Neurospora crassa OR74A: one gene and its partners. The protein of the gene in region 3 purifies or fractionates together with the protein of the main gene of each other region. This does not show direct contact. Links are inferred from orthologs where the notes say so. Each region holds a gene or a part of one and is shown on either strand. Other genes may lie near its edges. The genes, in order: NCU07839, NCU05235, NCU00925, NCU08595, NCU09380, NCU06272 and NCU07795.

Region 1 (3,970 bases), on a different chromosome or scaffold from region 3:
GGAATACGCTCGACACAGCTTGTACCTGTGACAACGGTAGTCAAGGCACAGCAGCACTGACTGAGCGACAACCCATAGAATGCGGGCTCCGTCACTCGCTACCTAAAAGCTCACCAATCCATCAAAGACTTGCATGGTTTCCTTATAGCAAAGCAAATGCCTCAATTGAGAGCTGCCATCAAGGCCCATAATCGTCAACGTCGTCATCATTATCAGCAGCAGCATCAGCATCGTAAGCGAAACGGAAGAAGAGTATCAGGGGGGGCCAAAGGAGGACATGGAAGAAGCAGCGAACCATGATTTAATCCAGCAACACCGTACCATTCACTTGGGCATGGAGCAGTTCGAAAAGGACCTGAAGAATTGCAGGAGCAAAGAGAAAGCGTTTAGTCTGCTGGTGCTGGAGCGTTTGGATCAGGAGGTGGAGGAGTTGGGGCGGAGAGGAGAAGATGAGTAAGTTTTGGGAGTTTGGAGGGGACGGAGAGATTGCTGTTGTCCGAAAGAAACCAAGAGGGCAAGTCAGGGAAGGGGCTTGAAGGTCGTGAGTAGTGTAGTGATCGAAAAATGTTTCAGGACATGGAAGTGGTGGTTTGTGTTGAGAGAATGTGGCTGATGGTGGTGGACTAGACCAGGCGGTGGTGATGGATTTATTGCCACTCTTTGTGTACGCAGTAGTGTACATCCTGGTCGGCTGCGGAACGGACTGGAAGTTGCTGCTCCCAAAGTCTTCAGATGAGGTGGGAGATGGATGGCAATATGAGGCCTAAGTACGGCTGTATACACGTGTAGAAACATGCTAGCATCGAGCATGGACATGTATGTGAACAGGCAACTCCTATAGAATGTGGTCAAGATTACAGATTCTCTTTTCCGTTCCCTGACAGCTGAGGTGAGCGACGACGGATGATTGCCCAACAACCGCGACGCGCAGCAAAGACTGCCAAGCATAATCCGCCAGTGAAGCAAGAACGAGAACCCTTCTGGCAAAGCGGAGTCGGTGAACCAGGTGACGCCAATTCCCGCAAAGGTGGACTTCTGCCTGATTGATAAGGCCACACATGCCTTATCGGCGCTTTATCTGTGCTTATCTGTGCTTGTCAACAGTGAAAGAATGCAGGCCCGCCAAGTGTTGCCAGTCGGGTCCAGTTTTTTTTTTCTCTGGTGCCAGACCGCCCCTACATGGAAGTCTGGGGGACAGGTACGGCAATGCCCGGTCCCCTCAAATCCGCCTTCGCTGTAACGACTGCAGTGAACTGAAGGGAAGGGAAGAAAAAAAAAATATTTTTCTGGGGCACTTGCACGCAAGGGACGCGTTGCGCCTTCCGCCTCCAACAAAAAGAAAGACTTTTTCTTCCCGCTTGGAGGCGAGTCGGGTCTGGCACAGGATCCGCATCTCACATCCACTAGCACTGCACAGCGGAACCCACCAATCCTCCATCGACATCTCCCTTTGGTCAGGTTCTTTTCCCATACTAACCTTACGTGACGGGTCCTTGTCCAGTGCCCCCAGAGTTTTTTTCGTTTCGACTTCCGTCCAGAAAAACTTGCACTTCACCCTTCGCAGCAGCCCTTTTCTTCCTTCCTTCCACCCACCCTCCATCTCCAATATCCCTTCCCGCCTACTTCTTGCGATTCTGCAAGATTCTTCATCCGCGATCCTTCTTTAACCAGTCGGACTGCTTACTTGTAACCACTTCACGCGTGTCGTTTGGTTCTTGTCTCTAGACGTCTGTCTTTTCCGACGTCTTCTTTTCCCGACAATCGATACCCTTGCGCCTCTAGGCCTTGTTTGCTCGTCGTTTCGGTCTACCCTTCAGCAACCCCAATAACAACCGATCTTCAATTTTCAACCTTTTCTTAAACAACCAGCAAACATGTCCGGATCTTACGGCGGCGGCGGCTACGGTGGCCGCGGTGGCGGTGGTGGTGGATATTCTAACGGGTACGATCGCAATGGCGGCGGCTACTCTAACAACTACTCCTCACACGGGTATGATGTTTTAGCGCGAACCTGCTCATTTCCTCTCTCTCTCTCTCTCTCTCTCTCTCTCTCTCTCTCTCTCTCTCTCTCTCTCTCTCTCTCTCTCTTTGCATTTCAAGATCAAATTGCTAACATCTGGTTCAACAGTGGCTCGAATGGCTACGGAGGCGGCGGCGGAGGATATGGCGGCGGTGGTGGTGGCTACGGAGGCGGCGGCTACGGTGGTGGTGGCGGCGGTGATAGGATGTCTGCTCTCGGTGCTGGTCTGCAGAAGCAGAACTGGGACATGAGCGCTCTTCCCAAGTTCGAGAAGTCCTTCTACCAAGAGCATCCTAGCGTCGCCAACCGATCTCCTGCTGAGGTCGACAAGTTCCGCGCAGACCACTCCATTGCCGTCTTCGGTAACAACGTTCCCAAGCCTGTCGAGACCTTCGACGAGGCTGGTTTCCCTCGCTACGTTATGGACGAGGTCAAGGCTCAGGGTTTCCCTGCTCCTACTGCCATTCAGTCGCAGGGCTGGCCCATGGCCCTTTCTGGTCGCGATGTCGTCGGTATTGCCGAGACCGGTTCCGGAAAGACGCTCACCTACTGCCTTCCCGCCATCGTTCACATCAACGCTCAGCCTCTCCTCGCTCCCGGCGATGGCCCTATCGTCCTCATCCTCGCCCCTACCCGTGAGTTGGCTGTCCAGATTCAGCAAGAAATCTCCAAGTTCGGCAAGTCGTCCCGCATTCGCAACACCTGCGTCTACGGTGGTGTCCCCAAGGGTCCCCAGATTCGCGATCTTTCCAGGGGAGTCGAGGTCTGTATCGCCACCCCCGGCCGTTTGATCGATATGCTCGAGTCTGGCAAGACCAACCTCCGTCGTGTCACCTACCTTGTCCTCGATGAGGCTGATCGCATGTTGGACATGGGTTTCGAGCCCCAAATTCGCAAGATCATCGGCCAGATTCGCCCTGATCGTCAGACTCTCATGTGGTCTGCTACCTGGCCCAAGGAGGTCCGCAACTTGGCCGCCGACTTCTTGACCGACTTCATCCAGGTCAACATCGGTTCCATGGATTTGGCTGCCAACCACCGTATCACCCAGATCGTCGAGGTTGTTTCCGAGTCCGAGAAGCGTGATCGCATGATCAAGCATCTTGAGAAGATTATGGAGGGCCGCGAGAACCAGAACAAGATCCTCATCTTCACCGGCACCAAGCGTGTCGCCGACGACATCACCCGCTTCCTCCGCCAGGACGGCTGGCCCGCTCTTTCCATCCACGGCGACAAGCAACAGAACGAGCGTGACTGGGTTTTGGACCAGTTCAAGACTGGCAAGAGCCCTATCATGGTTGCCACCGACGTGGCTTCTCGTGGTATCGGTATGTATCCATCTTACCCCTCCGCCCTGCCCAAACCCCTCCCCCCTTCTTCTCTCCCCCATCTCAGGCGACTTCCAGCATACGTACGTGCTTGTGCTTTACTCTTATGTCTAGGGGCTCTCTTGATTGCGCGAACTTGCCTGACCTCGTGTCGACTTGGTCTATCTGAGTGGAGTCTTGGGTTCGTGACGTAGCAGAAACAGTGGACTATGCTACGCCCGCGTGATTCTTCAATTGTACCTTTTTATCCCAGTTGTGGTACAAGCGAGGAGTAGGCATTTCTTGATTCCCGTCAAGCTTGTCTCCAAGATTCCCAAGGGGATTTGCATGCATGGCCCAAGGATCTCTGGAACCTTGGATCCCAACCCGGCATATTTTTCGCAATGGACAGCCCACCTGCCAAGGAGAGAAGTACTACCAGAGGATCACAGAACATACCTAGATATTCGTGTTCTCCGTCCGTTCTGGAATGTCGTTATTCCAAACCCTGCTATTGCTAACCACGGTCCTTTAAAAAAAGATGTGCGCAACATTACTCACGTGCTCAACTATGACTACCCCAACAACTCCGAGGATTACATCCATCGTATCGGCCGAACTGGTCGTGCCGGTGCGAAGGGTA
Region 2 (3,356 bases), on a different chromosome or scaffold from region 3:
ACAGCAATGGGGATGATGATCATGTTGACGATGTTAACGAGGTTAACGATATAATGGGGTAAATATATGATGAGAGAATGAGATGGAACTTGATGATGATGATGATGGGGGGTGGGGGGAGGGAAATAGAGGTGGGTGGGCTAGACAACCTGACAAATGGGGAAGCAAACTATAATGAGAAACTTGGCTGTGCTTTGTGCTTACGGTTTGGCTGGCTGGCTAAAGCAAGGCGATCGGAGCATTAGCATGCGAAGGAAGGGGTTGGTTTGGTTTTGTCGGGTCTTAACGCTTATAATAATACAAATGATAAAAGATATAATACTTTGTATTTAGTTACCGACTTGAACCAACTGTGTCTTTTAGGTGTTGTTTAGAGTTGTTGTGTTGTCGACTGAGTGCAAGATGGAATCAACGAACGGGTAGTAGTCCAAGATTGACCTTGGATATATCCTTGGCTAGGATACCTAGTCAGGTCTCGAGCTACAGAGGTCAGTCACGTTGGCAGAAGACAGAAACGAGTAACTTGTCGAGTCAGAAAGTACTGAGGATTACTACTATAAAACAAGACAAGACATGGCAGAAAGAAAAAAACAAACAAGTACTTCATATTGTGGGTCTCCCCGTGTCTATTAAACGCCAAATTCGCCGATTCCAATAAAACCGAAAATATGCTTTGCTACTAAAGGTAGACTGATTGATCCCCCCCTTGAAAACCATGGTTCTGAATATAATGAATCTTTCCAATGACCTGTAGCGACCAACGACCAACCAACCAAGCAAGGGGTATAAGCAAGCCCCGAAAGCAGCCATCGCTCGGGGGGGAGGATTGTCTGTCTGTCCAAAGCCACAGTTACTGTTTTTACAGTTAGAGTATTGGCTGTTGGTCAACCAATTGCTGTCTGTCCTGTCCTCTTTCTGGTCGTTCCGTCTTTATACACCAAGACCCGTTCGTCGTAGTTGGGCTTTGTTGCTGGTGTCAACTAGGCAGGTCTCAGTGGCGAGGAAAGGCCGCCGAAAAAATACAGCAGAACCCTCCCCCGCATAGGGATATCGACAGCCGCGGGAGCGAGTTCGTCCGAAGAAAACAAGCAAACAACGAATGATCCCGAGAAAAGAGGTGGCTGGTTTCGGTGTTGGTGATGGTGGTGGTGGTGGTTGGCGGTGGTGGTGGTCGCGGTAGTAATAGTTACAGAGACTCGGGCGCTCAGTCGGTATCCATCTCGTCGTCATCGTCCACGTCCTCGAAATCGTTCTCGTCATCGTCATCCTCATCGACCAAGCCTCCACCAGCGACGCGCTCCGAGATCTCTTCCACGCCGCCGTCTGTCCTGACACGGAGCCTCTTGACCTCGCCGCCAAACGCCTTGGTCTTCTTGCTGGCAGCCTTCTTGGCCAGCTCCTCGCGCTCGAGCTCCTCGACGTCCTGGCCCGTCTCCTGGGCGAGCTCGGCCAGCCTCCTCTTCTCGGAACCGCGCAGGCGGGGGAGGAGGTGCTCGTTCTCGGCGACGAGCTTGCGGGCGGCGGCGACCTCGCGGGCGCGCTTGCCGGCCATGCGGCGCTTGTAGAAGATGCGCTCGCGGCGCTGGCGGATCTCCGAGATACGCTCCATGGCCTTGACCGTCTTGGCGAAGAGCTCGCGGTCGTAGCGGACGGGCACGTTGCGGCGGGCGGCGAACTGCAGGGTGCTGTCGACCACCATCTCCTTGCCGGCGTTCTTGCGGTAGGCCTTGGTCCACTTGAGCTTGCGGGGGTTGCGCTTCATCTTGAAGTTCTTGTGGCATTTGGAGCGGCAGAAGCGGAAGGACTTGCCTGTAACATTAGTTGTACCCTGGTTAGCAATTGGCCTTGACGGAGAGGTTGATGATGGGGAACTGAAGTATGACAAAAACATACCATCGTTACGCATAAAGGTAATGCCCTTGGAGGGCCAGGCCGGACGGCCGCAAAAGAAACAGGGATCGACACGCATCTTGACGGGTTATGTGGGTGGTTGTGGTGGTGGTGGTGGTGGTGGTGGTTGAGGAGAGAAGCAGCGAGCCGGGTGAGGATGGGCTCGTTGTCTGTTCGGGAGGGGGGGGAGGAGAGGGGGAAGCAAGCAACAAAGTCAACAACAGCGAAACGGTCAAGGGCGCCGCTTCTGAAAATTTCTGGATGTCGGTGTTGGAAAAGTAAAGTGGGGCGGAGGGGACGCTTGGCTTATCTTAGCGCTATCGTGCTATCAGCCGACAAGACTCGGGTTAGGGTTGAGCGTGCATATACGCCAGCCCAGACGGTTCTTTTCTCTTGATTTGACAATGATGGTTCCCGATGATCGATTCCTCGATGTAAGTTGGCCGGCAATTGCGGCTGCTTACTTTCGATGCTCTCTCGACAAGCGATGGCCATGATGCTCAAGTCGACGGGCATGTTTACTTTTCCCAAATCAGTATATTCCCCGATCCATCCAACAATACTTCTTGAGCTCACGATCTTTTCGCTTCGCGACAATGTTCAGTCACCAAGATGGCATTGGTTTCTGTTAACAGGACTCTCGCGGACCCTAACATTGCTAGCTCCACTCTCTTTCTTTCCCATCAGTTACTGCTAACGATTAAAGTCTGACACCCTCTACAATGTTCAACACCGGGTATCATCGGTGTTCGTGACTGCAATTTTTACCATGTCTGAAGAATCTATTCGAGTTACAACTGAAGGCGTCAAGTTCTTCTCGGAGACTGTGGCGAAATCGGATCTTGAATTGTCTGTCATTTCTCACAATGATCAAGACCTTCTGTGATGGAAACTCCGTCGGCAGTAGGCCAGTGTCTGTTGAAGGTGACTACTTAGGCTTTACACAAAAAGAGGTCTTCCTTGACACTTGGTTGATATAACGCATCTCCGTCTCTCAGATTGAACTTGAAGTGCAATGGACTTTCCTCACTCCTTCCCCAATCACAGTGCTCCTTTCATCTCACTCACAGCGGAGTTGAGGGTCGGGTGCTGACCGAGAGCCCCATCAGATCCACAGCGCTAACTCAAAGATGCGGGGACGGAATCCGGGGAAAGCGTCAAAAGTGGAGTCGGGTTCCCCTGAGGCTCCACCAGACTAGCTCCTGCCCTGCGACAGTAAGGGTCCCGAGATCGTTCTTTCCTGATACAAACCGTACACTAAGTATAGGAAAGTCAAGATGTCGCTATCTCTTTCCAGTTTCTTGTCGGTAATTATCCCATGCGGTTCACCGTAATCTTCCTTCTCAAACTTGGTATCTACTGAAATGTACAAAGGATCAAAATTACAAACCCAACACCTACTGCTTCCTCCCCCAGCCACAGCACACGCGCACCGGACCACTCCTCGCTCCGTGGTGCCATTAGAC
Region 3 (4,161 bases):
CTGCTGGCGAAGGCGCACGCTCAACCCGCCAACATATGACGACAAATGCAGCCAAAAGACGGCCAAGAAGAATGAACGGAACGAGTCGAACATCTCGACAAAGAAGTACCACCACAGGCCGATATTGGGGGCCAGGTCAGACAGTGTAAGTTGCACACCATAGGTGGAACTAAGGAACTCCCATGAGCCGGTCAGGAAGAACGACATTTGGAAAAGCACTGCCAGAGCACCAAACGCATCCATAACCATGGTCGCGGTAAACTTGATCCACGCATTGGGCGCTCCGGTAGCGGGCAACTTCTGCCTGTCATAGCAAAGAAGAATGAGAGGCGGGAGGAGGAGTAGCGGATACATGGAGAGGTATGATGCGAAGGCTAGGGCGACCATGGCGTGAAAGGGTCTGCCGGAGATGGCATTGGCGACGGCGTGGAGAATGGCACAGGTCGTGAAGACGGTGGTCGAACGCCCAATGCATGTCGCGATGGTGAAGGGGTTGAACAGGAAGAGCGCGGCAATGATGGCACCACTCCAACGCTTGTCACGGCGCGGGGAGGTGAAGCGCGCAGACGAGCTGGCCTCGCCAGACTCTGCAATCCTTAAAAGAGCATGGGCGCTCAGAATATCGATAGCGATGTAGAGAAGGTACGTGAAGATGGGAAACGCCGCGAAGCTCGGGAGCAAGTTGAAGATGGGCAGCAAGAGGGGCGCCTGGTGGTAGACGCCGCCATCGTAAGGAGAGACGTTATGGTTATACAGGAAGAGGCCTTCTTGGACTAGATTTTGGTAGTTAGCAAACCTGTGTTCCTCGAGACGATGCGACGAATGCCGAAGAGAAAAACAAAAGCTACAACATACGGCGCTTGAAGCTTGTTACTGGCGTTGAGATCTCGACACGGCCAGTCAGGAGGTCTGGAAGACCGGGGAACAGAGTAAAGAGGGCAAGTCGCAGGACGGCAGCACCGGCGTATAAGCCAGCCGTCCTCCTCAACGTTACCTTGCCGCCATTCATTGTTCAATTCGCCATACGACGAGGTGGGAGCTGTGATGTCGAACTTGTCCCAGGGTCAAGTTACTTCTAACGACATGCCCGTCCAGTTGCGCTATACAGGAGTCGCGCCCAGCACGTTAGGTCGCCTTGTCAATCGCTGTCCCCGCCAAAGCAGACCGACAGCTGGCCCGGCCTCCACAGCTGGCGGGTCCCTGTGGGACAAGGGGTTCTGGAATCCAATCCAGACGGGAGCGGGAACCTATCTGGGCCAGACGGGCCCAGTATGTATTCTAGTAGCCTCATCTGTGCCTATCTGATGCCTCCCGTCTTTCCATCCGCTACGTTATCTTATCTTTGATCAGCTCAGGCGGTGGGAAGTGGCATAAAAAGTTCAGGACCGCGAGGGTCAGAAAAAAAGTTGATTGCAAGTGCACAGAGCGCCCCCACCTACAATTGGCTTCGATAACGATCGAGTCTGCAGACTGAAGAGATCCATCCTTGGTCCTCTTCTCCTTCTCTCACTCTTCCACCTACACCCAACAACCACAACCACCACCACCACACCCCAAAATGCCAAAAATCAAGAAGAAGGGCCAGGCCGGCGCGGCCAAGAACTACATCACCCGCACACAGGCTGTGAAGAAGCTGCAGCTTAGCCTTCCCGACTTCCGCAAGCTTTGCATCTGGAAGGGTATCTACCCGCGCGAGCCTCGTAACAAGAAGAAGGTTTCCAAGTCGGCCACTGCCTCGACCACCTTCTACTACACCAAGGACATTCAGTACCTCCTCCACGAGCCCCTTCTTCAAAAGTTCCGTGACCAGAAGGTGCTCGAGAAGAAGATCTCCCGTGCTCTTGGCAGAGGTGATGTTTCGGATGCCGCCCGCTTCGAGCGCCATGCTGCCCGCCCCGAGGCCACTGGCAAGCCCAGGTACACTCTCAACCACGTCATCCGTGAGCGCTACCCGACTTTCAACGACGCGCTCCGCGATCTCGATGACTGCTTGTCCATGCTCTTCCTCTTCGCCAACCTCCCTTCCACGAGCGCGGTTCCCGCCAAGATGATCGCCCGCTGCGAGCGTCTCTGCCTCGAATTCCAACACTACCTTATTGTTTCCCACAGCCTGCGCAAGTCGTTCCTGTCGATCAAGGGTATCTACTACCAGGCCAACATCCAGGGCGAGGATATTCTCTGGCTCGTTCCCTACAAGTTCAACCAGAGGATCGTCGGCGATGTCGATTTCCGCATTATGGGCACTTTCGTCGAGTTCTACATGACTCTTCTTGGATTCGTCAACTACCGACTTTACAGCTCGATCGGCCTCAAGTATCCTCCCAAGTTCGACCAGCTCAAGGACGAGAACGGTGCTGAGCTCGGCGCTTTCTCTCTGGAGGGTGTCAACATGGCCACCCAGGGCGAGACCAAGGCCGTCACAAACGGGGAGGAACAACAGCAGGGTCCTGACCCCAAGGTCCAGGCTGAGGTTGACAAGATTATCAAGCAACTGAAGGAGGACGAGTCCAAGAGCGACGAGACTGCCGAGGAAGATGCCGAGGCCGACGATGAGGAGAAGCCCACAGACTCCATCGACAAGTTCGAGCCAGTTGCCCCTGGTGGTGATGTTCTTCCTCAGCCGGCGTACAGCAGCAGTGACCCTTCGCAGCTGTTCGCCAACTTCACATTCTACCTCTCCCGTGAGACCCCCCGCCAGCCTCTCGAGTTCATTCTTCGTGCCTTTGGCTGCAAGAGGATAGGCTGGGATTCCGTCCTCGGCGAGGGTGCCTTCACAAATGACGAGTCGGATCCCTCCATCACCCATCACATCATTGACAGGCCAGTCGTACAAGCCGCTACCAACGAGGATGGCGATGGCGAGGACAATCAGACGGCCCAGAAGGTCGGACCCAACCAGAGATACCCCGGCAGGATATATGTCCAGCCCCAATGGGTATGGGACTGCGTCAACGACGAGGAACTCAAGAGCCCTGAGCTCTATGCTCCTGGCGCCGCTCTCCCTCCCCATCTTAGCCCCTTCGTCAAGGCCGCCCCTGGCCAGTACGATCCTACTCTGCCCCTTGAGGCTCAGCAAACCGAGGCCGAGGCTATTGAAGCCGACCTCGAGGATGCCGAGAAGGGTAATGCTGAGGATGGTTCCGATGTCGAAAACGACATGGATGTTGATGAGGCCGAGGACGATGAAGAAGAGGAGGAGGGTGACGAGGAGGATGCCGAGGAGGCCGAGGAGGAGGATGCTGAGGAAGATGAGGAGGAGTCCAAGACCCTCCAGCGTCAGCTTGAGCTAGAAGCCGAGCTCCAAGGCAAGAAGGTGCAGAATACAAAGGTAGACTCCAAGACCAAAGCCAAGCTAGAACAGCGCAAGGCTCTTGAAAAGAAGGCACGCGAGGAGGCGGAGGACCTGGAGCGCGCCAAGGGCATGCTGAGCAAGAAGAAGCGCAAGCTGTTTGAGCAGATGCAGTATACCAACAACAAGAAGAGCGCTCAGGACGAGAAGCTCCGCGCCAAGAGGAGAAAGCTGGAGAAGGAAAAGGCGCAGAAGGCGTAAGGTTAAAACACTGGCAAGGCGTAATTTTTTAGCACTTTATGTTTTGAAATGGGATACCAAAGGCTCATTTTTCTCTTTTCTTTTTGTGTAATCGACAAGTTTTGAATCCTACTCGTCGTCCTGAACTGATGCAAATGTGAATAATCGTGACATGAAAACGAGCGCCCACGAGGCTTTCGTCTGAGGGTTAGGGGTCGCTACGAACCAAACCGTAACGCCCAAGAGAAGTTGGAACGAACCGAAAATAGGACCAACGAAAGGTGAGAGTACAAAGTAAAAGAATTGAGTGAGGAGTCAGAGGTTCATCAGTTTCTCCATCCTTGTTGCTGTGGTACTACTACTGGGATGCTTTCGTACGTCAGTGCGGTTCTTCGACCTTCAATCTCTTGTCACTCCCGTCCTTAGTGATTGATCACCAGAATTTGCACTCAACAACCCTGCCAACGCGGGAAGAGCACCCACTAAACTGGGCCATGCAATGTCTTCACACTTGAATCAAGAAGATTCCGGCGACGAGGATTGGGATAAGGACACTGAAGAGATTAATTCCATCGCATCAGATGAACTGCACGAAACCCGCCCCAATCGGTGGAATGGGGCCCCCTCCACAT
Region 4 (3,613 bases), about 2.8 Mb from region 3:
TGTTGATTTGTTCATCGAAGAACCCCATCACCAAGCGACAAAATGCCTTTTGCCATTACTTTTCTTGACGCCATTTGAAGAAACATAGCCGTGAACGACCAAAACCTTTTCAGGATGATCGTACCATGATAGCCCACCATCATCGAGACCCCCCGTCTTCAAGACTCGTTCCATCAACCTCACGATATTAGTTACCTCTCTAGTCCGAGTCTCTGGCCCGAGCGCCTGCACGGAACAACCCGCATCCAAACCTCCTTCTCTCACCACACCCTCACGGGAACATGCTTCCAACGAGTTCACGAGTCACGACAGTTTACTTGCATCCCAGGCTTCTCAGTCGCGGGAAACTGCATAGAACTTTTCGAAAATGCATTCCTAATGCCCGAGTCTCCGAACACTCCACATGTACATACATACATACAGCTGCGGACAGTTTAAGTTTCAGTTTCAGTGGCATGGGCTGGGCTTGACGAGAATGCAATCGCCCTTTTTCAAAACCGTTGAAAAGTAGGTAGGTAGCTTCCCGATGGCATACATACCTAGTGACGGCGGAGGCGGAGGCGGTGAAAGGAGGAGTGCCGAGGATCCATGGAACAACGGTAAAAGAAGCCACCACGTGAATGGGATGCGTTCCGGAGGTTGTACGATACATGCAAAGTATGGATGGGATGGGTATGGGCTGTTTGGACGTGATGGGGAAAGAGACCGGGGAGTCTCATCAGGTTGGATGGATATCCTACATTTATGGTCCAGTCAAGACGACCACGAGAGAGAGAGGGGACATGGCGAAATAGATCATTGTGAGAGGAGGGAAGCTATACTGAACTGCTTCATGGTGTTAGAGAACGACAGGCCAGGTAGGTCCGTAGTAGGTGGATGAGAGCATTCTTGATGCTCGCCGGGAGCAATGACTGGAGAAATCTGGTTTTATGTCAGAGTAGAACGGTTTTAAGGAATCTGTATTGTGAACCCGAAGTGTAGAAGAACACCATCCCAATATGTTGGCTTCGTGTATTCAGAATCTTCTCAAGTGTGCTGACCTTGTAAGAGTGATGCCAGAGTTTTGTGATGTTGCTGACTTGGCAATCATATTGCTCAATGCTTGTTTCCCAAAGAGCAAGTGATTATCGAGTGATCAGAACAAGAATATGGAACTCAAGGTTGACTCCATCACCAACCTAATTGTGATGAGACGGCAGAAATGGAAATGATTTTGGTTGCCGTTGCAGTGACGTTGAGGCGTGAAATGGAATGGAACCTAACAGCCCGTGAACCCCTGAACGACAGGCAGGGGAAAGCCAGCGCCCAGTGGACGAGCGGACAATCTTGACCCCACCTGCCCCACAAAATTTCGAGTTCAAGGTCTCCTCTTATCGATAAGCGCCGTTCTGGAATTTCTTTGCTCGACCATCACGACGACGATTTGCAGGTGAAGGAGACAGTCCCCAGTCCACATCACCACCTTGCGGTACCTATCCAATCCACCCACTACCGTCATCGCATAACCAGACCGCCAAAATGCTCCGCCAAGTGTACGTCAATCGATCATGACAATGGAACATACCGAACATTAGCTGACAGTTCTCTTCTCCGCACAGCAAGCCGCGGACAGCCCGTTCCAAGAGGGCGCTCGAGAAGCGTGCCCCCAAGGTCAATGAGAACCCCAAGACCGCCCTCTTCCTTCGCGGCACCACCTGCAGCCAAGTCGTATGTCACCTCCTCCATATCCTCTCCTCCTATATATGATGGTATCATCAAAATCTAATACAGTCCGCAGACCCAAGATGCCATGCAAGATCTCTACTCGCTGCGCCAAACCCACGCCAAGCGCTTCCACAAGAAGAACCCCGTCCACCCCTTCGAGGACGCCAGCTCCCTGACCTTCTTCTCTGAGAAGAACGACACCTCGCTCATCCTCTTCGGCTCCAGCAGCAAGAAGAGGCCCCACACCATCACCTTCTGCCGCACCTTCGACTACAAGATGCTCGACATGCTCGAGTTCTACCTCGACCCCGAGACCTTCCGCAGCATTGCCCAGTTCAAGACCAAGAAGGTGCCCGTAGGCACCAAGCCTTTGATGGTGTTCGCCGGTACTGCTTTGTATGTCCCCCGATTCTTGTGACAAAGAGGAAGGAGTAGTGAATGAACGTCAGCTAACCGAGTACCACAGCGAATCCCCCGTCCCCAACGCCTTCACCACCGCCAAATCCATGCTCATCGACTTCTTCCGCGGCGAGCCCTCAGACAAGATCGACGTTGAGGGTCTGCAGTACTGCGTTGTCGTTTCCGCCGACGAGCCCACTTCCTCCTCCACCGATCCCTCGGACCCCTCGACAAAACCCACCCTCCACCTGCGCGCCTACCTGATCCGCACCAAGCGTTCCGGCCAGAAGCTCCCCCGAGTCGAAGTCGAGGAGCACGGCCCCCGCATGGACTTCCGCCTCGGTCGCCTCCAGCAGCCCGACGCGGACATGCTCAAGGCTGCGATGCGCAAGCCCAAGACCAACGAGGAGCGCACCAAGAAGAACATCAGCATGGACAGCATCGGTGACAAGATTGGTAGGATCCATATGGGCAAGCTGGATCTCAGCGAGTTGCAGACGAGAAAGATGAAGGGTCTCAAGAGGAGCAGGGATGTGGTGGATGAGGACTTTGATGATGCGGATATGCCGATGGAGGGCGTCAAGGAGGTCAGTGACAGGATCGTGGGGCCGAGGAAGAAGAAGGCGAGGGATGTCGTTGAGTTTTGAGTTGAGCAAGAGTAGGGAGACGGGAGAATGAGGGGTTGAGGGGATGAAGAAGAAGGCAGGCAGGGAGGAGGTTTAATCTTTTTTCTCTCACAATTGTTGCGATCATCCACCAAGACACAAGGCGTTTTTGGGAGTTTTTAGTTTTATTACTTTACTTTATCTTATATCATTGGCTGCTGCTGCTCTTGGGGAAGATGAACATTCATGCCAGATCAGATCATCAACAGAAAAGAAGAGATGACCAAAGCTGGAGTTATTGATGGATGATGGGTTGTTCGTGAAGTTGCCTTGCCAAAGCTTGTAGACCTAGACATCTATCTAGCATATACGTGATATTTATACCAACCAACATATGGGACCATAGGATCAACCGATCGACCGGCCGAATTTGCCGCTACAGCTTTGTTTGGAAGAATCTAGTATTGTCAGCACTCGCTGCCTACTATCACATGGCACTCATGCTATTTCCCTCTTCTACCTGGATACCTTGCTACCTTGCTACCTTGCTACCTTGCTACCTTGCAACTATCTATAATCATAGAAAAAAGACAATGCCATAATCATGTACAACCATAGGAAAACCTATGAACTATTCCCTGTTTCGATCTTTGGTTTGGAAACGTCTATAAGGGGTGTCGGTGAGGCAGTCTGCAGACTGATTTAGTACAAAATTATGAAACCAAATATCCATGCCGAGAACGATTGATTAGTGTATATGTTGACTGACTACAAGGTTATGAATGAAATGCCTGTACCAGAAATTGTGTTTGTTAGAGCAGAGTTGTATCAATCAATGATGGCTTCCTTATGCTTGTCTATAAAGAGACTAAAGCCAGTCCCACCAAAGAGTTAAGACTCGAGAT
Region 5 (4,178 bases), about 3.2 Mb from region 3:
ATGGCCCCAACTGGCTTCGTCTCGTTTGTCTTCTAACCATACCACCTTAAGCTGAGGCGTCTTTTTCAGGCAAACTTGTTATGGCATACCCTGGAGTCCGGTTAAGAGGGGTAAAAAGTAATGTTCAGGATTGGTTTTCACATGGGTTAGGTATACTTAGAGCGGATTAAAGCCTACAGCAAAGAATTAGATAATTTTGGCGAACGTGATAGAGGGCTTACGATTTGTCTAACGGTCCTAAACCGTGAGTTTCTGGACCTCTTCCACGGGGACGTCATCATCGCCTTCCAGGTCCTCATCACCCTTCCCAGCCAAGCCCCTCTCCCAGAGTTGTTTGCCCGTGAGCTTGACAGGCTCCTTTATCCTTGCCTTCTTCATCTCGGCCGCCTTTTCCTCTTCCTCCTTGATTCTCTGATCTTCCAGTTCCTGCAAGAAACTCTCCCTCCACTTCAAAAAGGTTTCGCGATTGACGGGAGTGCCCTGGAACTTCTTGTTCTCTTCGCGCTCCGCGGCAAGGGCGGCCTCCTCTTGCGCCTTGATGGCAGCGTCCCTCCGCTCTACTGCCAGTTGCTCCGCAGCATCCTTCAACGCCGACACAACAGTAAAGATCATGGCCATCCCCAAATTCTCTTCAATTGTCTCTTGGATACCTTCGAGCAGCTGGAACCGATCGTCGGCAATGTTTATGTACTGATGGGGCGGCGCATTTGGGGCGGACGCAAGCTCAAGGAAAGGTGGCTTGTCGGGATAGTCTTCGGGGTACCGTACGGTAAGTACCATGCTTGGTGTTTCTTCGGCATCATCATCAGGAATGTCCAGCGTGATAGTAATCCGGTATTCGGTATCGGAGATATCTAGACGAGTCGAGCTTGGGTTAGGACAGGCCCATGCCTGAACGGCAACCGATGTGGGCGAACAATCGAACCTTGGATCTCATCTGGGAAGATGGAGTCGAGGACTTCCCTCTCTTCAATTTGTTCTTCGCGGCCCATGATGTCCAATCGGTAGGGCGCCTTTCAAGTTTGCAGTGTGCTGGACGACATAAAACGTGAAAGACTCCTTCCAAAAGTGGGTGCTGGCAATGTTGACTTTCAGGCGTTTACTAACCTAGAGAAGAGGACGGGAGGGGCAACCAGACGGCATTGCAGTGACTGTAGCGTCAGGTGCAGGCCAAACTCCAAAACGCGAGCGCGGCTCAATCTATGGTGGGGGTCCTGCCTGGGTTCCTTGTTATATCAATGGACAGTTCTAGACAGTGTCGATCAAGTCGCCCCACCACAGAACCCCGGAAAGCTTCTCACCGCCCGGCAGATGCCAGGATGCGGATCCAGAAATTTTCAGCGGAAAACGTGCTACAGAATTTCCAATTCAGAGGCTTCAGATACAGGGCACTCCAAAGTTTCGGATTCCCGTCTGAATACCTGCACTTTCACATATTCCTGCTCGACCATCACCTTTGAACCAGCGCCCACCCAGTACGACGTCAACACGAGCCCCCCATACCTAGATCAATCCTTCATATCCCGGAGCAACACAGACATCGCATAGCATCAATGGCGACCAAGTCGTCTTCAGCAGCCGCTGCCGGCGGAAAGAGAAAGGCGTTCGGCAAGCATAACGAGGATGGCCGTACAAAAGCAGTAAAGACCACTTCTGGCAAGAAACACATCAAGGCCGAAGCCGAAGACAATGAATCCTCCGATGAAAGCTCAGACGCCGAGTTCCACACAGGAGAGACCACAACATCCACGCCCAATGAGTCCGGCAATGGCTCCAACGAGACCAAGTCTGGTACGTTGTCTCTCTTTACCATATCTGCCCCATGATGACCGAACCTCGCTCTGTTATTTGACTAACACAACGCAGGCACAAGCTCCAGGGAGGCGCACGCCAAGCAAAAACAACTCGCCCAAGAACGCAAGAACGCGAAGCCACTGGCCGATGAGGTGCACCGTACCAAGAAGCTGTGGGAGAAGCTCCGTCGCAAGTCGCATGTGCCTAAGGAGGAGCGCCAACAGCTCGTTGAGGAGTTGTTCACCATCATAACTGGCCGCATCAAGGACTTTGTCCTAAAGCACGATGCTGTCCGTGCCGTCCAGACCGCCGTCAAGTACGCCACCCCGGTTCAGCGTAGGCAGATTGCGAAGGAACTTCAAGGAACCTATGCGCAGCTCGCCGAGAGCAGGTATGCCAAGTTCCTGATCGGCAAGCTTCTGGTGCAGAACGACAAGGAGATCCGCGACATCATCGTCCCCGAGTTTTACGGCAAAGTTCGCAAGCTCATCAACCATGCTGAGGGTTCCTGGATTCTGGACGATGTCTACCGCGGTGTTGCGACCAAGGAGCAAAAGGCCAACCTCCTTCGCGAGTGGTACGGTCCCGAGTTTGCTCTGTTTAGGCAACCCAAGGGTACCGAGGTCACTGGCGATCTCTCCAAGATTTTGGCTGACGAGCCCAGCAAGAGGACAACGGCGATGAAGTACCTTTTTGACATGGCCAATGGCCTCATTCAAAAGAAAATGACTGGTTTCACCATGCTCCACGACGCTCTGTTGCAGTACTTCCTCAACCTTAACCCCGAAAGCGAAGAGTTCAAGGAGTTCTTTGAGACTATTAAGGAGGATGAGACCGGCGACTTGCTCAAAAACATGGCATTCACCAAGTCTGGCGCCCGCCTCGTGTGCTTGCTCCTTGCGCACGGAACCGCCAAGGACCGCAAGCAGCTGCTCAAGGCCTACAAGGACACCTACCAGCTCATGAGTGGTGACAATCACGCGCACGCGATCATCCTCGCCGCCTACGATCTCCTTGATGACACTGTCCTCACGTCCAAGACGATCTTCTCCGAGATTCTTGGCAAGAATGAAGAGAAGGATGCCGAGCACGTCATCTTTCTCGCTAACGACCTCAACGCGCGCACGACGGTATTATATCTCTTTGAGGGAATGTCCAAAGCGTTGTTCCCTGCCAGCCACGCCACCGACCTGGAGATTCTGAAGGAGATTCACGAGATCCGCACCAAGACCAGCAAGAAGGACGCCGAGGTTAGGCGTAAGGAGTTGGTGACGGCCATGTCGCCTCAGCTCCTTGCGGCCATCGCAAGCTCACCCGCCGACCTGGTGGCCACCTCTTTCGGTTGCCAGTTTGTTACTGATGTTTTGCTTTCGGCGACTGGAGATAAGAAGGCCGCGTTGGAGGCTATTGCCTCTACTGCCGGTGGCGATCCCAACGCTGAGGCGCCCAAGGATGCCTACCAAGCTCTTCCCCCTCACATCTCGACAACCATTCACGGTGGCCGCATGTTCAAGACACTGATTGCTGGCGGCCGGTTTGACAAGGCCACAGGCAGCATCCAGAAGGTCGACCCCCCGCTCAACTTCGCCGACCTTCTCTATCCCGTCATCAAGGACCACATTGTACAATGGGCCACCGGCCCTAGCTCTTGGACGGTGCTAGCTATGCTCGAGGCTTCCGACTTCTCATCGAAGAAGGAGCTCCTCAAGACCCTCAAGTCCAACAAGAAGGCCCTTATCAAGGCCGCAACTGAAGCACCGGCGTCGAAGAAGGAAGAGATGGAGGAGAAGCCAAAGGCTAAGAAGGGCAAGAATGCTTCTGCCCCCAAGGGCAACCAGGGCTCGAAGCTCCTTTTAGAGAAGCTCGATGCCTAGGTTGAGGAAATTGTAGGCGTCGCATGGCTATAGTGACAAAAGTGGACGGTAGCCACAGGTTGACTAAATACCCCTTTTATGTTGTTTACTTTGTCAATGCGATTTTGTTGGGCCCCGCGTAATTTGCGGTTGACTGATAGCCCTGTTTACAAGTCTGGACATGTTATATATGATTGCATAGAGAAAAGCTTGCTTCCAGACTTCCCTGATGGTTCAGATATGACGCTTGAAACAGGCCGTGGCCTACTTGGAGTGAGGTAAATCATAATTAACCAGACAGGAGCGAGACAACTTTCTTATATTCGCCATTCCGGACCTTGGAAGGCCTTATTATCATACGACCTTCACATTGAACCACTTGTACCACAATTTTCGAGGGACACAACCTCCCCATATCAACATGGCGTGTAGAGGCAAAGTGCTGTGCAAACATTTTGACTGCGGCACCAAGACCGACATATATCGGGTTCACCGTCACTTGATGGCTAAGTGCCGCTTGGAAACCGAATA
Region 6 (4,215 bases), on a different chromosome or scaffold from region 3:
CAAGGCGGTCAACTTGCCACCGAACTGGACGAAGACAGCCGTAGCAGTGATGTTGCGAATATAACCAGAAACCTCATCTCCGACGCGAGCACCATCAAGGGTAGTAAGGAACTTGCCTTCCTTGCTAGCCTTGACAAGGCTGGGCTTCTGGGAGAGAATGATGGAACGGCGAGCCTCGTTCTTTTCCAAGATCACCAACTCGGCAAGAGTCTGGTTGACGTGAATTTTCTTGAGGGCAGACTGAGTCTTGCTGACCGACTTGTCCGTCAAGTGAGCGACGGGGAGGATGGCCTTGAGAGAGCTATCGGCAAGCTCAACAAAAACATCGTCGTCAGTTTTCTGCGTGACCTTAGCCGACACCACATCACCGATCTGAAGCTTCTTGAGGGCCAACTGCTTCTCAAGACCAAAGGCAGATGGGTCCTTGCAAGAAACAATAAGCTTGGCGGCATCGGGGTCGAAGCTGATGACGTAGATGCTGACAGTCTGGCCAACGCGGAAGTGCTCCTTGGGATCCTGAATGTAGGCCTCGCTCATCTCAGAAACTGGCAAGAAACCACGGAGCCTGCCGTAGAACTGCACAATCGCACCGTGCTGCAAGACGTTGATGATGGTACCGAGCGCCTGTTGGCCAACAGCAATTTGCTCATACGATTGGATGGCAGGAAGATCGGAATTGACGAGCGTCTTCTTGAGAGTAAGGCGGATCTGGCGAGAGGCAGCGTCAGTCGAGAGCACACGCGCCTTCACCTTCAGGCCTTCCCTGAACTTCTTCTCGGGGTTCTGAAGGTGAACGTCAGCGAAGTGCATCTCGGGGACCAAGCCAGAGATACCGTCAGCAATCTTGACAATAAGGCCACCAACACCGGCGGCGTTGACCACCATCTTTTCAACCACACCAGAAACAACTGCACCGACAGGAATGTCCTCGATGCGAAGGAATGGCTGCTCAAGAACACTCTTCTCCAAGGAAATGAGATACATGCCATCAAAGGCGTTGTAGCCGACAACCCTACCAGCGTGAACAGATCCCACCTTATAGGGTCCGCTGTTCTCGAAGAGGGCATCAACCTTGCCATCCTTGACGCGGGAGATGTGCACAAACCCAGACACGCCCTCGACACCAACATCGACGTAAAGACCGATCTCAGGCTCGACCTGCTTAACGGTGCACTTCTCCACGATCGTCGAGTGAGGGAGAGCCTGCAATGGCACCACTGGTTGGTCGTCCTTGGAAGCAGTCTTTGGCTTCAACGAGGTAACGTGTTTTAGTACAGAGATACCCAGCTTGGGGTGCTTTGCAGTAGGGAAGTTGCAGATGACTCTGGCCTTCAGACGAGAGCCGACCTTGTATGTGTCTTCAAGATCGATGCCATCCGGACCAGCGCCAGAGTGAACCAGATCAGCGGTGACATCCAGCGATCCCATAATCTTGCCAACAATTCCGTGGCTGGAAACCTCGGACACGAGCACGTCGGCGGCAGTACCGGGGAGGAATGTGTCGATGGTGGTAGCAGTCGAAGGGACGTTCTCGACGTTGCCCATGGTTTCACCCAATGTGGACAACTGAACGACCTTGCCCTTGGCGTTCTTGGTGACGATACAGAGGAGGACGGCACCTGGCTGCAGAGCCTCCTGGGGGATGCTCTTGTCGACCTGCTTGCGAGCAAGGAAACCTTGCAACTTCGAATCGGCGATCTCGATGTCCATAACATAACCGTGGTCCTCCACACTGGCAATGGCGGCCATAACTGTGCTGTTCACAACAACGTCTTGCTCCGCCATACCGGTGTTGGCGAGAGAAGGTTGAAGGGAGAGTTCGATATGGCGCTTGGCCTTTCCAGGGGTGTGTGTAGAAGCCTCGTCGACCGTCGATACAACGTAGGCGCGGACATACTGGCCGATCTGGAAGAGGGATTCGAGGTCAACGTCGTTGTCGTTCTCGTCTTCTGACTCTTCGGCATTGTCGTTACCGGCGCTGGCCTCCAAGCGTTTTGTTAGGGGGGCGGAAATCGCAGTGATGGGGACATGGCCGATAATATTGTTGGGTAGAGCAACGGCGATGTCGAGAGAGTTGATGGCGCAGACGGAACCAAGGACCAAGGAGCCCTTTACCAGACGCTGCGGACAGTTAGTACTTGGATGATAGGACTGAACCCATGAGTGTTCCGGCGCATACCTTGAAGTTGAGACTTTCAACCTTGACGGCGTCCGCATCGGGCTTCGCGGGTGTGTCGTCGGACTTTGACCTCTTCTTGGACTTCTTCTGCTTGCCCTCCTTCTCACCAGCCTTCTTGGCGGTGGCCTTGCTGGATTGCTCCTCGAACAGGGCGTCGTTCTTGGCCTGGACTTGGATTTGCTTGTATTCGAGAGGTGTCAGGATGCTGGCGCCGCCTCTGGGGAACATTGGCTCCTCTTCCTTGAGCAGCGTAGATGTAGCCGGGGCGGTAGGAGCAGGAGGAGCAGGCTTGTCGGACTTGGGAGCCGGCTTGTTGCCCTGCTTGCCCGTCTTTGCGCCCGCCTTGCTGCCGGCATCGTTGGACTTTGGTCTCTTTGACGGTCTCGATTCGGAGGCTGATTGTGTTGATTTGTTGACTGGGGCGCCGCCCGGGCCTTCCTTGCGCTTTTGCGCACCCATTGTGAACTGATGGGTATAAAGAAAGGACCTGATGGATGGACGGATGTGTTTGGAGTTGCAATTGGAGAGATACCCGCACTGGATCCCTCGTCCCTTTGCCCGCCTTCACACTTCAGAATGAATCGACAAGCACTGACAAAAACTGACCCAGGCCGCTTCCACTGTCCGCTGCCGAAAATTTTTGGTGGGTCCGTCGCCGTTCACCGTGGCCAGATAACGATAAGGAATGCGGTGAGCATCGGCTACGATTCTGCCATCTCTAGGTACGCGGGCCGCGTGCATGTCGGTTCGTTGCGGGTTCTGAGTCTTGCGGGGTTCCCCTGTAGGGGTACTAGCAGCGCCTGTCTTGTGTCCACGAGTGCCACGGCGTCAGCTGACAGGACGCTGTCACGTTCATGGCCAGGTACGTACCGAACCTTTTGCACGGGCGGAGACGGGCAGCCAACGGGCCAGCCGCATGCGTTGCAGGGAAGTACACGGTAAGTAGAGGTAGGGTACTGAAGGCCGTTAGGTACCTACACCCTAGAGATAGAGGGGATTGCTGAGAACGTGCTATCAATGAGTTACCTATTGGCCATTGCGAGGTACATATAATTCTCCAAGGCGGGATGTACAATTGTCTAGAGGTACCTACCTACACTTAACATGTCGTCTGATGTTAGGATCGTACGGTATTGGAATATCATTCTAGTCTGATGGAAGAATGAATTTGATACTACACTAGACCATCAAGTAGGTACTTGTAATAACATCAGCATTCGTTCACATGGTCCCCCTCTCCAGGTAATAAAGTGTAGGTACTTCGTTACCTATCCGGTTCCCCTGGACTGTGCGCTACCTGGCAAATGACGTACATGCATCCGAGCTGGAGCCTTTGATAATGGATGAAAGCGCTCCCTCCCCGCCGGCGGTACCCGTGTAGTGTAAGTAGAAGTACACATCGGATTTGTAGCCTGAGCGGTGCCTCGTCGGCTTGTCGACTTGTCCCTACGGTATAGGCGCCACGCAATACTCGTCGCATGCCCATTTTCGATCCTTTCAACTTGACGAAATAAACGGCAATGTGGCCAAAGTTTGCCCTATAATCTTAGGGGACTGGAATCTGTTAGGTTGTTGGCCTTGCTCGCCATGGTCTTCACCATGGGTCGTCGAAAAAAGGCGAAACCAAACCCTCCAACCGAGCCGGCGGATGGTAGTGCTGTCACCGAGTCCTCAACGTCCACATCCGATATGCCGCCGAAATCGTCCTCGAGCCTAGCAGCCTCTATATGGCGTTCAAAAGCCGTTCCAATGCCGACCGCTTCGAACCCACCTTCGTCGACGACGACCTCGACACCTGATAATGCTCTATCAACATCCCAGCCCAATGCGACCGCAAATACAACTCCTATTTCGAGCAAGCGAGGGCTGAAAGAGGTAGCCTATTTCTCTTCAGCCACCATATCCAGCCTGTTTAATGCCTGTTACACCCGATGCTAACAGACTCGCAGCCCCAGAAATCTCGGAGTTGGTATGGCTCATGGCCACGCAAATCGACACCCTCGACACAAGTCGCCCGTGAAACAATCATGGGCGGA
Region 7 (3,053 bases), on a different chromosome or scaffold from region 3:
GGATATCATGACGAACCCGTAACCGTGTGCTGATATCCCACCTTTTCACTTGGCGTTGTTCCATCTCTGGAAATGAACAAGTTCATGACGTGCTTTGCTTCTACAGCTCACATCGAACTGCTTCTGCTCCATGGCAATGGTGTTTTATGAGACCGTGACCCAATCACTTACACGCAAAGTTGGGAGAAGCGACCTAGCGACAGGAAGGTGCGAAGCTCAAAGTTCAGGACCTGAGGGCACCGATCCAATACTCTTCCTCCAATCGCTCACCCACGTGTCACTACCTACTAGTAAATGGCGCGAGATGGCAGGCAGTAGCAGCTTGGATGCTCCACGGATTTCTAATACATCGAACCTGGTCACTCCGTCAGGAAAACCTGGCTCGGGAAAGTAGGGAGGTACATGTACTGTAACTGCAGAAGCGTGCCTCTTGGATGGCAGAAGCTGTGTTCTGTAGAGGAAGGTATGTACAGCAAGATAAGAGGTATCGTGCATGGAGCCGTAGCGATCGATGTAATGCGAACCAATTCAACGGTGGCAGTCGGATTCATCTAGGTTCCGCTTGCGTATGTCCAACGTGAATTAACCTGTAAAACCCGGAATTGACGTGCATTACTTACCTAATCGAGCTCAGGTATATCGTCATGCATCGTTCGACTGTAAATGATGTTCAAAAGTTTCAACATTCAATTGGTCGCCGAAGTGCAACATGCTCAGACAAAGGTCTGTACATTATGCCGACCGCTGTTCATCGAGGTGCTCAGGTTCGGTCCAGGGGCAGATCAACTTTGTTAGGTCTCGTCGCTGCCGCCCGTTTGTGAGTAACGTGTCCTGAGACCATATGCTTGAGATCGTATCGATCCAAAGCGCGAAATGTGAAACACGTAGACAATTTCATACTGTTCGATAATGTCAATGTCGAGTTGTCATGGGAAGAGGTTGTCGTCGAATTGAGCCGTTGAAGTCACGGCTTACTAGGGTTAGGGGTGATTCTGATGACGGCAGAGCGGGTCCACCGTTCATCCCCGCTGGGCTGCCCTTGGTTCCACCAAGTGTGGGGTTGACGCAAGACAGGGACAGGGACGCAGGGCATATTGCCGGCCGCGACCGCCAAAAATTTCTGAGTGGAGAGCACCTCAGCAATTGGGAAGTTTCGAATGGAGGGACCTGCACTCCGAACCTCGACCATCTCGGCAGCACCTCCAATCCGCGATAAACAATTCTGCCCGTATTTCTCCCCCTCGGCTTGATCAGCTGGCAAATCGATCCCAAACACAACCACTATTCCATCTGCTTAATTCACATACAACCTACATCCAATCAAACCAGACACACACACAATCACAACCATGGGCATCACCAAGCGCAAAGAAGGCCCCAGCAGCAAGGGCAAGCCCGTCCGACCGTCCAAGAAGCAGAAGGCGCAAGCATTGGCCGCCTACCACAGCAGTTCAGAGGAGGAATCCGACAACGAGCAGCAAGATGTTGAAGACCAAAGCGACGAGGAGGCCGGCACCTCCGCCGTTCCCGCCCACCTCCTCGACTCGGACGACGAAGACCTAGACAACCTCGTTGCCGACGATGGCGCATCCACAGACGAAGAGCAAGCATCCGACTCTGATGATTCCGAAGCCGAACAACCATCAAACAAGTCCTCCAAGAAGTCGCAAACAAAACCCAAATTCGTCGCCAAAGACGCCCCAGATTCCGAAGACGACGAGGACGACTCCCTAGACGGCGGTTCCGACCTGGGCTCCGACCTCGACGATGAATTCGACCTCGACGGCTCGGGTGATGAGAACGGCAACAGGAGACAAACCAAATCCAAGCGCAACGATCCCGACGCCTTCGCCACCTCCATCACCAAAATGCTTTCCTCCAAGCTGCCCGCCTCGCGACGCGCCGACCCCATTGTCGCGCGCTCCGCCGAGTCTGCAGCCGCCGCCAAGTCCCTGGTCGACGCAGCGCTCGAAGCCAAGGCGCGCAAGCGTTTGCGCGAGCAGAAGCGTCTGGCCTTTGAGAAGGGTCGGGTGCGTGATGTGTTGGTCCCTAGCAAGACTAGGACGCTCAACATCCAGACGGGCGAGATCGAGGAGATTCCGGATGGAAAGGAGGGCGAGCAGACGACGGGTCAGATTCTGGAGACGGAGAGGAGGCTGAAGAAGACGGCGCAGAGGGGTGTGGTGAAGCTGTTTAATGCGGTTAGGGCGGCGCAGGTCAAGGCGCAAGAGGCGGAACGGGCGGCGAGGCAGGAGGGAATCGTGGGTGTGAAGAGGAGGGAAGAGAAGGTTACGGAGATGTCGAGGAAAGGGTTCTTGGACTTGATTGCGAGCGGTGGTGGGGGGTTGAAGAAGGGTGGCTTGGAGGAGGCTTAAGGGAATTGCATTCTGGTGTAGAGGGGTGATTGTTTATTGTGTTTGCATATTGTCAAGGTCTAGGCTATTTTCTTATATACAACCCCGTGCCCTTGATCTGGGGCAAACAGTTGAACAACGTACAAGCCCCATGCAGAAGTATGAACAGTCAACATGCTCTTGCCAATCCGTCATATCCATCAACATGAACATTGCCCATCACAGATATCCGATAAACTCTGCGCTGAACGCCGTCGCCTCAACAATCCGACAGAAATGGAATAGATGTCGTGTTTGTGCCATATATATTCCGTCGTCCGTCTCCATTTTTCTTTACACCACAGTGAATCCCCTGCCCCTTCACCTCTACCTTCTTCTTCTTCTTCCTCCATGCTCAACCCTTCATCGCCTGATATTACCTCCCCCCAATCCCATGTCATTCATTCCATGACGGCACGGTCTAGGACTTGAAATCACTAGCCTGCAAATTCCTCGTCATGCTCGGCAACTTGACCACCAACCCATCCAACTCCTTGGTCATGTGCACCTGGCACCCCAGCCGGCTCGTCTCGGTGAGTCCAAACGCCAAGTCCAACATGTCGTTCTCGTCGTCGTCGGGCTCCGGCATCCGGTCGTACATGTCCTGGTCCTGCACAATGACGTGGCAGGTCGAGCACGCGCAGGAACCGCCGCAGGCGC

What was found.
Region 1: the proteins of NCU00925 (region 3) and NCU07839 purify together in Saccharomyces cerevisiae (affinity purification with mass spectrometry, with the first as the bait; 3 studies listed by BioGRID). This does not show direct contact. The link is inferred for Neurospora crassa OR74A from reciprocal best matches to the Saccharomyces cerevisiae genes NOP7 and DBP2.
Region 2: the proteins of NCU00925 (region 3) and NCU05235 purify together in Saccharomyces cerevisiae (affinity purification with mass spectrometry; 12 studies listed by BioGRID, with this or other methods). This does not show direct contact. The link is inferred for Neurospora crassa OR74A from reciprocal best matches to the Saccharomyces cerevisiae genes NOP7 and RLP24.
Region 4: the proteins of NCU00925 (region 3) and NCU08595 purify together in Saccharomyces cerevisiae (affinity purification with mass spectrometry; 16 studies listed by BioGRID, with this or other methods). This does not show direct contact. The link is inferred for Neurospora crassa OR74A from reciprocal best matches to the Saccharomyces cerevisiae genes NOP7 and RPF2.
Region 5: the proteins of NCU00925 (region 3) and NCU09380 purify together in Saccharomyces cerevisiae (affinity purification with mass spectrometry; 4 studies listed by BioGRID, with this or other methods). This does not show direct contact. The link is inferred for Neurospora crassa OR74A from reciprocal best matches to the Saccharomyces cerevisiae genes NOP7 and PUF6.
Region 6: the proteins of NCU00925 (region 3) and NCU06272 purify together in Saccharomyces cerevisiae (affinity purification with mass spectrometry; 8 studies listed by BioGRID). This does not show direct contact. The link is inferred for Neurospora crassa OR74A from reciprocal best matches to the Saccharomyces cerevisiae genes NOP7 and RRP5.
Region 7: the proteins of NCU00925 (region 3) and NCU07795 purify together in Saccharomyces cerevisiae (affinity purification with mass spectrometry, with the first as the bait; 4 studies listed by BioGRID). This does not show direct contact. The link is inferred for Neurospora crassa OR74A from reciprocal best matches to the Saccharomyces cerevisiae genes NOP7 and RRP15.

Annotation. Positions count from the first base shown.
Region 1 is NC_026503.1:1,036,299-1,040,268, forward strand, and holds the start of NCU07839 (ATP-dependent RNA helicase dbp-2), read left to right. Parts: upstream 1-1,170; 5' UTR 1,171-1,874; coding exon 1,875-1,990; intron 1,991-2,128; coding exon 2,129-3,348; intron 3,349-3,868; coding exon 3,869-3,970. Other genes in the region: NCU07838 (hypothetical protein), read left to right, coding at 278-453, 790-841. UniProt on the Saccharomyces cerevisiae protein: ATP-dependent RNA helicase involved nonsense-mediated mRNA decay and ribosome biogenesis through rRNA processing. Associates directly with chromatin, correlating with transcriptional activity.
Region 2 is NC_026504.1:5,664,218-5,667,573, reverse strand, and holds NCU05235 (ribosome biogenesis protein RLP24), read right to left. Parts: upstream 2,120-3,356; 5' UTR 1,970-2,119; coding exon 1,894-1,969; intron 1,810-1,893; coding exon 1,205-1,809; 3' UTR 501-1,204; downstream 1-500. UniProt on the Saccharomyces cerevisiae protein: Involved in the biogenesis of the 60S ribosomal subunit. Ensures the docking of NOG1 to pre-60S ribosomal particles. Activates and recruits ATPase AFG2 to cytoplasmic pre-60S ribosomal particles.
Region 3 is NC_026501.1:6,705,681-6,709,841, reverse strand, and holds NCU00925 (pescadillo), read left to right. Parts: upstream 1-1,430; 5' UTR 1,431-1,558; coding exon 1,559-3,550; 3' UTR 3,551-3,661; downstream 3,662-4,161. Other genes in the region: gpit-2 (glycosylphosphatidylinositol transamidase 2), read right to left, coding at 1-773, 856-1,009; NCU00926 (hypothetical protein), read left to right, coding at 4,029-4,161. UniProt on the Saccharomyces cerevisiae protein: Component of the NOP7 complex, which is required for maturation of the 25S and 5.8S ribosomal RNAs and formation of the 60S ribosome.
Region 4 is NC_026501.1:9,517,966-9,521,578, reverse strand, and holds NCU08595 (ribosome biogenesis protein), read left to right. Parts: upstream 1-1,416; 5' UTR 1,417-1,518; coding exon 1,519-1,532; intron 1,533-1,598; coding exon 1,599-1,707; intron 1,708-1,777; coding exon 1,778-2,100; intron 2,101-2,170; coding exon 2,171-2,750; 3' UTR 2,751-3,113; downstream 3,114-3,613. UniProt on the Saccharomyces cerevisiae protein: Required for biogenesis of the 60S ribosomal subunit.
Region 5 is NC_026501.1:3,514,632-3,518,809, forward strand, and holds NCU09380 (pumilio domain-containing protein), read left to right. Parts: upstream 1-1,378; 5' UTR 1,379-1,553; coding exon 1,554-1,791; intron 1,792-1,866; coding exon 1,867-3,668; 3' UTR 3,669-3,894; downstream 3,895-4,178. Other genes in the region: NCU09381 (RWD domain-containing protein), read right to left, coding at 238-854, 926-992. UniProt on the Saccharomyces cerevisiae protein: RNA-binding protein involved in post-transcriptional regulation. Component of the ASH1 mRNP which transports the ASH1 mRNA to the distal tip of the bud, where the ASH1 protein is translated and targeted to the daughter cell nucleus.
Region 6 is NC_026503.1:2,145,392-2,149,606, reverse strand, and holds the start of NCU06272 (mito ribosomal protein S16), read right to left. Parts: upstream 2,801-4,215; 5' UTR 2,639-2,800; coding exon 2,180-2,638; intron 2,122-2,179; coding exon 1-2,121. Other genes in the region: NCU06271 (hypothetical protein), read left to right, coding at 3,767-4,054, 4,129-4,215.
Region 7 is NC_026505.1:268,821-271,873, forward strand, and holds NCU07795 (DUF1665 domain-containing protein), read left to right. Parts: upstream 1-1,180; 5' UTR 1,181-1,349; coding exon 1,350-2,375; 3' UTR 2,376-2,553; downstream 2,554-3,053. Other genes in the region: NCU07794 (2Fe-2S iron-sulfur cluster binding domain-containing protein), read right to left, coding at 2,815-3,053. UniProt on the Saccharomyces cerevisiae protein: Constituent of pre-60S ribosomal particles. Required for large subunit rRNA maturation, in particular processing of the 27S pre-rRNA at the A3 and B1 sites to yield 5.8S and 25S rRNA.